Linked DNA regions of Arabidopsis thaliana. The protein of the gene in region 1 interacts with the protein of each later gene in a pairwise test. Each region holds a gene or a part of one and is shown on either strand. Other genes may lie near its edges.

Region 1 (6,441 bases):
ACAACGACAGTGTTAGATCACAGTACTTTGGCTCTTTAGATTAACGAAGAAGTACGAAACAAAATCTAACTTCATTTTTTGTCTGTAATATTTATCACGCCTCTAAATATGTAAAAATCGTCTTCAACAAAATTAGTGACTAGAACTTCTGTGAATAAATTTCGAATTTAGTTAGTGATCTTTGGAATAAATCCTAATCAGATGCTCTTATAATTCGTAAGTTGAATCTGATTCGATGAAAAGATAATGAAATACTTTTCGAGCTGATAAACCCTTTAACACAAAAAAAAAAATACTTTTCGAGCTGATGCTTTGCAGAAGTCAAAGGAGTTGTGTATTTTGAACTTTATTGGGGCAAATTAGTAAATATCAAAAGTTGTGCGGCAATTTCGTACATGGGTGCGAGTAAATTTCGTTTCTTAGATCTACTGGTTCGGTATATTTTTCAGTTGTCACTGGTGGAAGCAATTTGAATCGGTTCTAATAGTCCGTTGTCCCTGGGACGTGTTGAATTCACATTTGTTGATCCTACTACCTCAGAGTTCTTCAACATAGAAACTAAAAGCAACTGCTATTGAATAAATTGCAATTAAGCTGTCTTCTCATAAAAATATCAAAAGATAAAACATTTTAAAGTAAATTTGTAAAATTCAGCTAGTTTCTGTAGTAAATAGGATATTGAGATTAAATGCAAAATAATGTAAAAATTTGAGTCTTCTGATATGACTAAGCAAGAAGAGGTGGAGATCAACATGCTTTTATGGTCATCAGTCATCCAGTTATGTATCACACCGACCTTAAAGCACCGGCTTGCAAAGAATCTTGCAGAGACGTGACAGCGCCGTCGTAGTTTAAAAAACCCATGAACCAAAACTCATGATTGTCTACCGAAATCACCTGTATGTACTTCTCTGCAGGATTGACTATGCTCGCTGATGGATTCACTGCTTTAAGTTGATGTAATGGAATTACTACCTATTTAAGAAGAAGACACAAAGTGTTCATCAATCATCAATGTAGCAAAGCTTATTACAATGAATAAGCAAATGCAATCGTATCGGATTGGTTTCGATGAAACAAGAGATGAGAAGCTGATGCAATCATGTTATTACTATCACAAAAAAAAAGTCCATGGATTTATGATTCCGTTAACAAGTCCAGATTATTTTTCTATCCAAATGAATCACTCTACGAAGGCTCCTTAGTTGATGCTACTAACAAATTATAACGAAACATTGTCTCAAGCATTGACCAGATAACCAGCCAACAGATTTCGAACAGTTAATGATCACAAAAGTAATAATATGGTGTCTTCAAAATGGCTATAATTCTGAAATGAAAGGTGTAGGACACATTACCTTGTAATAGCTCCATTCGGTTTGATCACCGTTTTTATAGGAGAGAGGGTTGTCACTACAGTAAGCAAGTTTGGCACTGGATATATATAGAACTCCCATAACTGGGCCAGCTGATGTTGACAAGTAACATGCAAAAGAATTTAGCAACTGTTCTTCGGGATCTGTCTCAAAGGTTTGTCGGAATATCTTCTCATATCCTCCTTCTGCAAAGACCTTTGTACTCTGTGCAATTCTTCCCATTGCAGCATCCGCAAAACTCGGAGCAGTTCTCACTGATTAAAAAGAGAAGATTATAAGATATATCAATCAGATAGATCTTGAATGAAAATGCTAGCGAATCAAACAAGTAAAGCACATCCAATCAAGGAAGAGATGAATTGCGAGTTCACACACAAACAATTGAAACGTATATTGAATCATGTTATTTTTCTCAGTCACCCAAATTCAAACTTTACGTCCATACTATGTAAATGCAGGCATTAGACATTTTCCCTCAAACTCCATTACTCAAACACTTACCCAGGAACTCATCTCTATCCATAACACGACCATGTCCCAAGCTGAAACTCATATCCACAGTTCTAGCTCCTAACTCACCAAAGGCTGTTTCTTCTTTTTTTTTTAATGTTCATCCAAATGTATTATCTAATCCAAGTTCCTAAAAGCAATATAGCAACTCTATCTGTTCCGGAGCATCTATTCAATATTTCACTTCTTTAACAAAAGATCTACTATATTTGAGCGCAAACATCCATTCCAACAATGCTAAACATAGAAGATCGATTCAAACATGATATGAAATACAAAAAAACTGGAGCAGTTCTCACTGACTAAAGTAGAAGATTGTAAGAGAGATCACTCAAACGAATCCTGAATAGAATATGCTAGAGAAGCGGACAACTAAAACACACCCAATCAAGGAAGACATGAGTTATAGAGTTCACACATGAACACTCTAAACATAAATTTAATCGTGTAAACTTTCTTAATTCCCCAATTTCTATAGTTTTAGCTAGTCATCAGACATTTTCCCTCCACCTCCATTGCTCAAACATTCACCAAACCACCAAGAACATCACTTGATTAGAGTGGTAATTCTTCAGTCCGCAAAAAGGCTTTTTGATCTCAAAACTAGGAGCTAATTCCCTACTACTTAGACTACATCACGAATGACCATGTCCGAAGGTCAAACTAATATCCAGCTCTTAATTCGTCAAATGGCGTTTTTGATTAATGTTCACCAAAGGCATTAAAATTCCAAGTTCCAAAGAAGTAACATGGCAACTAATACCTAATCCAGAGCACCTAATTTCAATCTGATATTTTATTTGTTACCAGACAATCTACTAAAAACTTGACTGCAAACATCACACAGAGAAAAAACAGCTTTAAGGTTATTCCGACTCTCTTATAAACACTTGTCATGGGTCAAGCTACAAAGTTTGACAGACTGAAACTGGGAGAATCTTCTTGTTCAAATCCAAGACAGAGATTTTTTAATTACTGTGATCACAAACTTGACAATATCAAAAGATCATCCTCTAATACCGAGCAGATGTGGTATTAATCTTGGTTCTGGAGACAAATCGAAGGCAAGAGATCCACGTAGAACAATTGTGATTCTAAACTATTTATGAAGATAAACCTGAGAAAAACCGAGATATTTCTTCCAACACAATATGATTCCATAACTAAAATAGTCCGTTTACTATTCTTAGCAAGAACTCAACAAGATCAAAGGTCATTGTCTTTTAATGTACTGCCTAAAGACTGAAATTCAGGGGAGTGTTCTGTTTGTAATTAAGAAAATTTATCAACACAAGCCAGTAAGAACGTCCCATTTTATAGCAACAACATGTTGAAAAGAGATCAAAGAATTGAAGATCATAAAAATACACTTGAGCACTATCGAATATGATGATAGTTACTCAATCCTAAAACCAGTACTAACCTAAACACCAACATACAACAAAGGAAGAAAACCATAATACAGCAAAAAAAATCTTTTATGTTTCTCTAAAAAAATGTAGACTTTGAGTAGAACAAGCTACTTTTAACAATACCCTATGAACAATTCTTGATTCCACAGAACTCTAAGCATTGAATTTGATTACAAATTGATATTAAAAAAAAACGAAAACTTACGGTGTTGCCATGTGTTCCCGGCAAGGCTCTCCGTCTTCTTTGCTGCTTCTGCAACCCTCTTTCCCCATCTACCAAGCACTCCTTTCACAGTCTCCATCGTATCTGAATCCAATTCACAGACACAGAGAGAGATCCACAAAAAGGTAAATAAGGCTACAATACACAATCTCAATTCTCACCGCTACGATCACAACACTCTTACCTTTCAACGAAGCATCTGAAGTCTCAGCTGGAGAACGAGCAATATACGGATTAGATCCAGCCGAAGAAGACGATGCAGCTTTCTGATCCGGTTCCTGAGATCCAGACACCAATTCGGGGCTCCAATGTACAGATTTCTTCGATCCAGACGATGTTCGACTCGGAGCTTTCACCGGTGTCGAATCGCTTCCCTTCGTCTCGATTTCAACCTCATCGGACAAGGCTATCTCAGTGTTCGCATCCTCGACTCCCTTCGTTTTCGAATCGACGACGCTTAGCGATGGATCCTTCACCGGGACCTCAGTCTTCACTACGGTATCTCCCTTCGGCGGCTCCATAAATTGGTCTCCAAAGACGGATCGTGGCGAGTACGGCGGCGCGTGAGATAAACGGTTTGTTTGAGTTTGAATTTTGCAAGGATTGGTATTGGGACTAATGGTATCGTTCCCTTTGCTCTTTTTTTTTCTTTGGTAATTTTTTTTGTGTTATATATATATACCAGTAAATACAGATTTGTTCCCTACATTACATATGATGATAATTATGATACCTTTGATTTTCTTTGTTAGACAATTATGAGGTATGACTAAGATCAATAGGGACATGAACATAAGAGTCTATGTTTTTTTCTATGTAAGATCAATACCTTTGATGTTTTGAATTTAAAAAGAGGTTCAATGTATGCAATATATTATCAGAAAATGTTTGAGGAGTAATATGAGTTGTATAGACTTCACACGTTCTTCACCCAACTACCTACTACTGAGATTCACATAGATTTGATGAACGGTTAAGGACACTAAATCTACAGGAGACAATATCACTTCTTTTACCTATAATACATTGTCATATAGCACTCGGTCCCTTATGATAGCTAACCGAACCAAATTTACATACTTAGCATCTCCAATCCCACTTTAATTTTGTCCTCTAAAACTCTATGATATAGTACATTCTCTCCATCCTCATTCTATATGTTACTTTAAAATAGAGAAAATTGTAGGATTACTCTATATATAGAGTGATAGATTGGAGATAAATCATACTCTATTCTAGAGGAAATAATAGAGATCATTAGAGTGGTCAATTTACAAGACAATGAGAAAATGATAAAGGAAATGGACGAGAACTAGATAGTAATTACGTGTGAAGAATATAGAGAATTTGGCAGAGAAATAATAAATTGAGTGAACAAAAGTACACTTCTTAAAATTTAAGGAAAGTCTAGGTTTTATATTTTTGGAGGATCTTTTATCATGTTTTATAAACTAAATAACGTTGGTGAATTGATCAAAAAAATTATTTTTCTTTTTAGATTGTTTGAAGGTGGAAAAATATTTCGGTAGTCAATGATTTGATTAAAATAATTGGATTGCGGTTCCAAACTTGAGTTTCGTTGAAATTATTTTTTTTACTTTTTTTGCACTAAAAGATAGATTATATATGAAATTATATAAAAGTGGCGATTAACAAGATAATTCCATAAACTAAGCCGACGGATAACATGAAATCTTCTGAAACTAAAGCCCAAGAATATGGGGAGCTTACCAACACTACTGCTAATGGAGTTTTGTTGGACTTATATATCAGAGTTTATTGGTACAATCTACAATAATAACATCTAATGGAGTTTTTTTTTTTTTTTTTTGGGTAAATGACATCTAATGGAGTATTGATTATTTAATATTCTAAACAAAAAAAAATCAATTGAATATCTCGTGAAGTTTTTTAAGCACGGTGTATTTATTTAGAGGTTTCAAGATGTTCTATTTTCTTTAATGTATATAGATTATAAATTAAAATACTAATCAATAACTCCCCTTAGATCTTAGATTTTTTCATATAAGTGATAACGGAAAGCTACTTTGGGCTTGATAAAATACGAAAAGTTACGAGGTTAGGCCACATCCACGAAAAGCTAGAAAGAGAGGCCTGCCAAGGCCTCGTCCAAACTTGTACTACTAATCAAATTAATTAAAATTTCTTTATTGGTAACTTTTTAATATATTCATTTGGTCAAAGCTGGCAGGAAAAAAGTTTTCAACTTATAATTTTCTTATGAAGAAGATACTGATACAATGCATATTAAGGTCAAAGCAAGAGTCTAACAATTTATTATTCAAGGAATATAAATAATTGTTAGGTAGGTTCTTATTGAAATGAAGCATTTCACACCGTAATAATGATATAGCTGTAGAATATGAACAATGCGCGTTTGCTTGACTGTTTCGTTGTAAGTTTGTAACAATAATGGCCACCAAGTAATCTGTCACTAGAATATTGCAACAAAATAAAAACCATAAATATAACTATAATGATCTACTAATTTATTAATTTAATTAACATGAAAATATGACAGCTTTTGCCAGCCCTTGCTCGTATAATCAGTCCAGATAACACATTACAACGAAACATATAAAATAACTTTTTTCAACAGAAACGATTATAATATACATCTAAAATAATTAACAGTTGAAAATTTTGATAGACATACTATATATGAATATGAACTTAAATAATGACCCATTTTTCGTATAATGTTAATTATTTACTCGTAAACGCGTTATTTCCACGAAACATTAGGCAAAACTCAAGTTAATTTACGCCTGGCATTGTAACGCGGTTAACCAAAAAGCAAATTACGCAGAGTCAAATCATATCTAAAAACCAATATAAACATAACACGTGTCAATACTTAACTGATCTCAGAATTAACATCGTTAAGAGAAAACACGTG
Region 2 (5,453 bases), 3.8 Mb from region 1:
CAAAGTCAATTACCTAAAACCAACTCTATTTTTCACAAGAAGACGAAGCAAAAACGGCGAATTCCTTCCCAATAGAACAAGGGGTTTATCTACTTTTAACAGGGAAATGATCAGGAGCAATACGATTCTAAATTGAAACCTCAAAAACCCTTAAGCTAACACTATAATCTCCTCCAACCTTAAATCACAGTGCGATTAATCAAAAAAAATCAACCTTTCTCGATAACAGCAGATGAGAAAATCAAAACTTACCAGAGACCCACGAAAGGAACAGCAATTAGAAAGCGAAGGTCTATAAGCAGCTAGGAAGATATAATTGTCTTAATATCCGAAGCTTTAGAGAAGGAGGAATCAAATACAGAGGCTATGGGCAATGGAAAATTCGATGAAGAAGTTGAAAAGACAAGAATTTGATCGACGAATTTAGGGGAGAAAAGCAAAAGAAGAAGACGAAGAGAATTGGGTTTGCGTGGAAGAAAAGAGGAGTGATAAAATATTGATGCTTTGGAGTTTGGAGTACTAGTTTTCAATTTTCGATTTGGGCTTTTCTTCTTCCTCTTCTCTTCTCTTCTCTTCTATACAACATTACTTAACCAAAGAAACGTGATCACGAGTTCTCTTCCTCTTCTATGATTTTGGTTTTACTTTGATCTTTGGTTAAAAAGGTAATCTAACATTTATTAGCTTGAATCCAAAAAAGTCTTTGCACACACAAAAAAAAAAGTCTTGAAGCCAAAAAATTGTAATTTTTCTTTAATGTGATATATTGAATTTTATTTTAACAACTTGTATAATGGGCCGATTGTTTTGAGTGGGCACCGGCCCAGATTCTAAACAGACCCAAAAAAACAATAGTTAAGATGTACATTATATTACTAACTTTAAAATTGAGTTTTGAAAATATGATAGTGAGTCAGTTGACATAAATTTTGGATCTAGATCAGATTCTTGGTATCAAGATCAATATTTAGTCTCAGAGCATAATATAATACAAATTGATACATCTAGCTCCTTTAATTTTTTAAATGTTAATCAAAAATAAAAACTCATGAAAGTTATAATTATTTTATAACGGCATTATATTTTTTTTTGTCAACTAGACGATAAACCGATAAAAGAAATAAAAATTGGTATTTATTATTATAATCATCAAAACTTCATATATTGACATAAAACAACAAATTTAAATAAGAGTATATAGAGAAATAATAATATCGGAAAGTATAACATTTAATAAAAAGAAAAGTTGAAGTTTTGTTAGTAAGAAAATAGTAGTAATGACAATTGAAAAGAATCTCATAATCATTGAAAATTTATTGAATTCTTTGATTTAGAATAGGGATGTGGTAATATTCAATGTTTAATATTTATGTGTTTTCTTTTAATAATCAATATTTATTTCATGATTTTATATAGATTTCCTCATTAGCAAATATAATATAAAATAAAATGGAAACGACGAACCTTAATAAGAAAAAGTTCAAGTATATACAGAAATAACAATACCGGAAAAATATAACATTTAATAGACAAATAAAATTAAAGTTTTGTTAGTAAAATATTAGAAATGACAATAGAAAAAATATCATAATCATTTAAAAACTGTTTAATTCTATGATTTAAAATAAGGATGTGGTAAATATATTCAAAGTTTAGAAAGAGAAACATAGAAAACATAAACTAAACCATTGATTATATTTGATTTGCTGGGCTAACTGTTTTATCTTAATATTTTACTGTTGATAAGATTCCTTATGATGAGATTATCTTTGATTTTTCAAAAAAACTATAAATACTGAACAAGCAGCATAAACATTGCACGACGACCTTATATAAATCATGTTCATATAAAAAAAATCACAAGTTGAAAAAAAGAAATCTGGTCTCTTTGGTTTGCATCTATTAGATTCGTTCAGAGACAGCAATTCATAATGGGCCTAATTAATGGGCTTCTTCGTAGATAAGTGTTTTCGCGGGAAGCAACGGGTTAATAGGCGCGGGAGGTATACGTGGCTTTGGTACACGTAGGATTGCGCGCCAAAGACCTAAATAAATCTAAACCCTTCTTCTTCTTCCGTCGTCTTCATCGTCTTCATCTATCTCCTCCACTATCTCCTCTCTGCATCTGACACTCTATAGACATTGTTGATAAAAATGAGTACACCAGGCTCTTCTAGATCCATTCCATTCAAATCGAAGAAACGATTGGTGATGGATTCGCCGTCTTCGAAATCTCAAACCGGGAATCCAAATCCGTCTTCTGTAGCATTGCCTACGCCGGAAAAACCACTTGAGAACATGCTTAGTAGATCGAGAAACCGATCTGTGGCTTTATCAGTGAAAGAAATTCGTCAAGCCGCTGGATCTCGTCGCAGATCTGAAGATCCGGTTGCTTCATCTGCCAAAAGCAGGCTCTTTTTCGATTCATCATCATCTTCTCCTTCAAAACGTAAAAGCTCTAACAAAAATGCAGAGAAAGAGAAACTTCCGGAGAAGTAAGTTTTAATCTCTAGGGTTTATAAAAAGTTTCAATTTTTTCCCCTTTTTAACTGATTAGGATTTGGATTTGTGCAGGTACGAGAATCTGGGAAAGTTCTTTGAAGCATTGGATAATTCGATGTTGTTATCGAAATTAAGAGGTTCTAAGCCAACATTCTCCAACATTTCTAAACAAATCGAGCATTTAACCGAGAGGTAGTCTTCCTGACATTTCAATTTGAATCGTGTTTGTGATTGTCACTGATTGGATCTGATCTGAATAAATAAGCCAAATTTGGTTATTGCCTTTAAACTTTATAGAGTCGATAAGACAAATTAATAATCTAGATCGTGTTTATGGGATCTGATCTGAATAAATAAACCATTTTGATCTTTGCTTTTTATACTTTATAGGTTCGATGAGACAAAAGAATACTTTAGATCTGGGTTTTATAGATTTCTCCGATAACTTTTCTAGATTTTAGATATTCACGAGTCTGTTTCTGGTGTGTTTATATAATTCTTGTGTGGATGTATATTTCAGGAGGTTTTGTTATAGTCACTTGGCTCAAATAAAGCATATATTGCCTGAAGCGATTGAGATTAAGAGAGTATTGATACATGATGAAACTACTTGCTGTATGAAACCGGACCTTCATGTTACGCTCAATGCCGATGCTGTTGAATACAACGACAAGTCGAAATCGGAAAGTAAGAAAATCGCTCTTCGGAAAGTGTTTCGGGCTAGACTTGCGGATTTTGTTAAAGCTCACCCTCAGGTATAATGCCCTATCTATTTTAGTGATTTTGGAAGTTGCATTGTGATTTTATTCAAGTACTAATGGTGTTATTCTCTGTTTTAGGGTGATGAAGTTCCAGAGGAACCGCTTCCTGAGCCCTTCAATAGAAGGAAACCAGTTGAAAACTCAAATGTTGAAGTCAAGCGTGTTAGTTCTCTCATGGAAGAGATGGCTTCTATTCCAGCATCTAAATTGTTTTCATCTCCCATCACATCAACGCCAGTCAAAACAACTTCAAGTCTGGCTAAACCAACTTCGTCTCAGATTAACATTGCTCCAACTCCAACCAAACCAACTTCAACTCCTGCTAAACAGACTTTGTCTGAGATTAATATATTGCCAACTCCAGTCAAACCAGTGTCAACTCTGGCTAAGTTTCCTTCAACACCGGCGATTATTGACTCAACACCAGTCATTACTGCAACTCCACCTGAATTTGCTTCAACTCCTGCCCGGCTGATGAGTACTTCTCTGGCAGCTCGTCCGCTGAAAAGAAGCAACGGTCATACAAATCCAGATGATATTTCTGCTGACCCACCGACTAAGCTCGTGAGGCGTTCCTTGTCTCTGAACTTTGATTCTTATCCTGAGGATGAGAGAACTATGGATTTCACAGATGATATACCCATTGATCAAGTACCAGAAGAAGATGTATCCAGCGATGATGAAATACTCAGCATACTTCCTGATAAACTTCGACATGCGGTAATACATCTCTATTAGTGATTCCTTTTCTTCTCGTAATTTTGCTTTATACTTTTCAGTTTGAGATTAAGAAGTACAAACTGAGATTGGCTTTACTTACTGAGATTGTTTTTTTGCTCATTTCAGATAAAAGAACAAGAGAGGAAAGCGATTGAGGATCAAAATCCAGCAATCTCTCTGGCAAAAAGAAGGCGAAAGATGATCGCTTGTCTACCTAAACTTTTCAATGTCATCCATTACTTAATTCAATCGATAAGGCGTTGGGTTATCACAAAAGAAGAGCTTGTGCACAAGATCATTGCCGGTCACTCTGATATTACTGACAGAAGTAAGCCCTCTAACCACTAAGTATCTCATTATTACTTTTCTTTACATTGTTTGAAAACCATCCTAACTGTTCTTGCCTCACTTACATTTTTCAGAGGAAGTTGAAGAACAACTAATCTTACTGCAAGAAATTGTCCCTGAATGGATGTCTGAGAAAAAATCATCAAGTGGAGATGTTCTAGTATGGTGAGTCTAATATCTCACATATACTCAACTCACTTTTTCTTGGTTTTATGGATCGCTCATGTAAGCAACTTTAATATGCAGCATAAACAAGTTGGCATCTCCTCTAACAATCCGATCACGTCTTGAAGAAGAAAACAAGCAAGAGATGGCTCCACTGCTTTCTTGAGATCGTGGTTCCATCGGCTGCGGTTACTTTGGGTTCTAACTTATTTTTGGACTGCCAAATATGTTATAGTCTATTCATGAGACAGATGTGTAGAGACTACTAAGTTATAAAGTTCCTAAGTAAAGTAAAAGGGTGAAAACAAGTAGATGACAAACTATTTAGGAAGGTGTTTTCATCTTTTTCTGAATTATGACAATGAGGTTATTTCTCTATCAATAAAGAGTAATTTTATGCATTTTGTAACAGAATTCTTTATAGAACAAGACTATAAGGACCGTTGTTGTGTGAAGTATGGAAAGAGATCAGATTTAATCTCCCAACCATGACATATCTAAATCCTTGATGACAATTCTCTTTCTGATTATGTCCCTTTATATTTGATTAAATCCGTTAGACATTTTCATATATGTTAGGCAAATAACCAGTTCCTTTGGATCTAAGTTTAATTTCTCAAGCCACTTTAATACTCCTCTTAGTTCCTCTACCGAAGTTCCAAAGGGTCATTGGCCATTTGGGACTTCGGTTCCGTGAATTAGAAGAAAATTTCTGGTATATTGTGAACCCAATGTTCAATAATATTCAATTTCACAGCTTAAAAATATATTGGTTTATTTGCACAAGAGAAAAAGACAGAATGAAAAAAGAGAGAGAGGTGTGTTTCTGAGAGCATCATTTGGGCCTACTGGGCTTTCACAAAGAAAATCGCGCGAAGTATTAACGGACGGAATTCGGCGGGAGTCCACGTGGCACCATCACAAGTCGGATTCGCGCCAAATAACCTAAAATAAATA

What was found. Proteins that work in one complex are often made in the same cells at the same time.
Region 2: the proteins of GEM (region 1) and CDT1A interact in a two-hybrid assay, tested with the Arabidopsis thaliana proteins (one study listed by BioGRID).

The regions. Positions count from the first base shown.
Region 1 is NC_003071.7:9,539,124-9,545,564, reverse strand, and holds GEM (GRAM domain family protein), read right to left. Parts: upstream 4,438-6,441; 5' UTR 4,043-4,437; coding exon 3,706-4,042; intron 3,606-3,705; coding exon 3,504-3,605; intron 1,631-3,503; coding exon 1,359-1,630; coding exon of another isoform or gene 1,323-1,358; exon of another isoform or gene 976-1,322; coding exon 787-975; 3' UTR 527-786; downstream 1-526.
Region 2 is NC_003071.7:13,326,883-13,332,335, forward strand, and holds CDT1A (CDT1-like protein A), read left to right. Parts: upstream 1-1,979; 5' UTR 1,980-2,154; coding exon 2,155-2,495; intron 2,496-2,574; coding exon 2,575-2,694; intron 2,695-3,022; coding exon 3,023-3,257; intron 3,258-3,341; coding exon 3,342-3,983; intron 3,984-4,109; coding exon 4,110-4,311; intron 4,312-4,405; coding exon 4,406-4,496; intron 4,497-4,577; coding exon 4,578-4,662; 3' UTR 4,663-4,949; downstream 4,950-5,453. UniProt on the Arabidopsis thaliana protein: Member of the pre-replication complex. Component of the plastid division machinery. Promotes polyloidization and regulates endoreduplication. Involved in the coordination of cell and plastid division.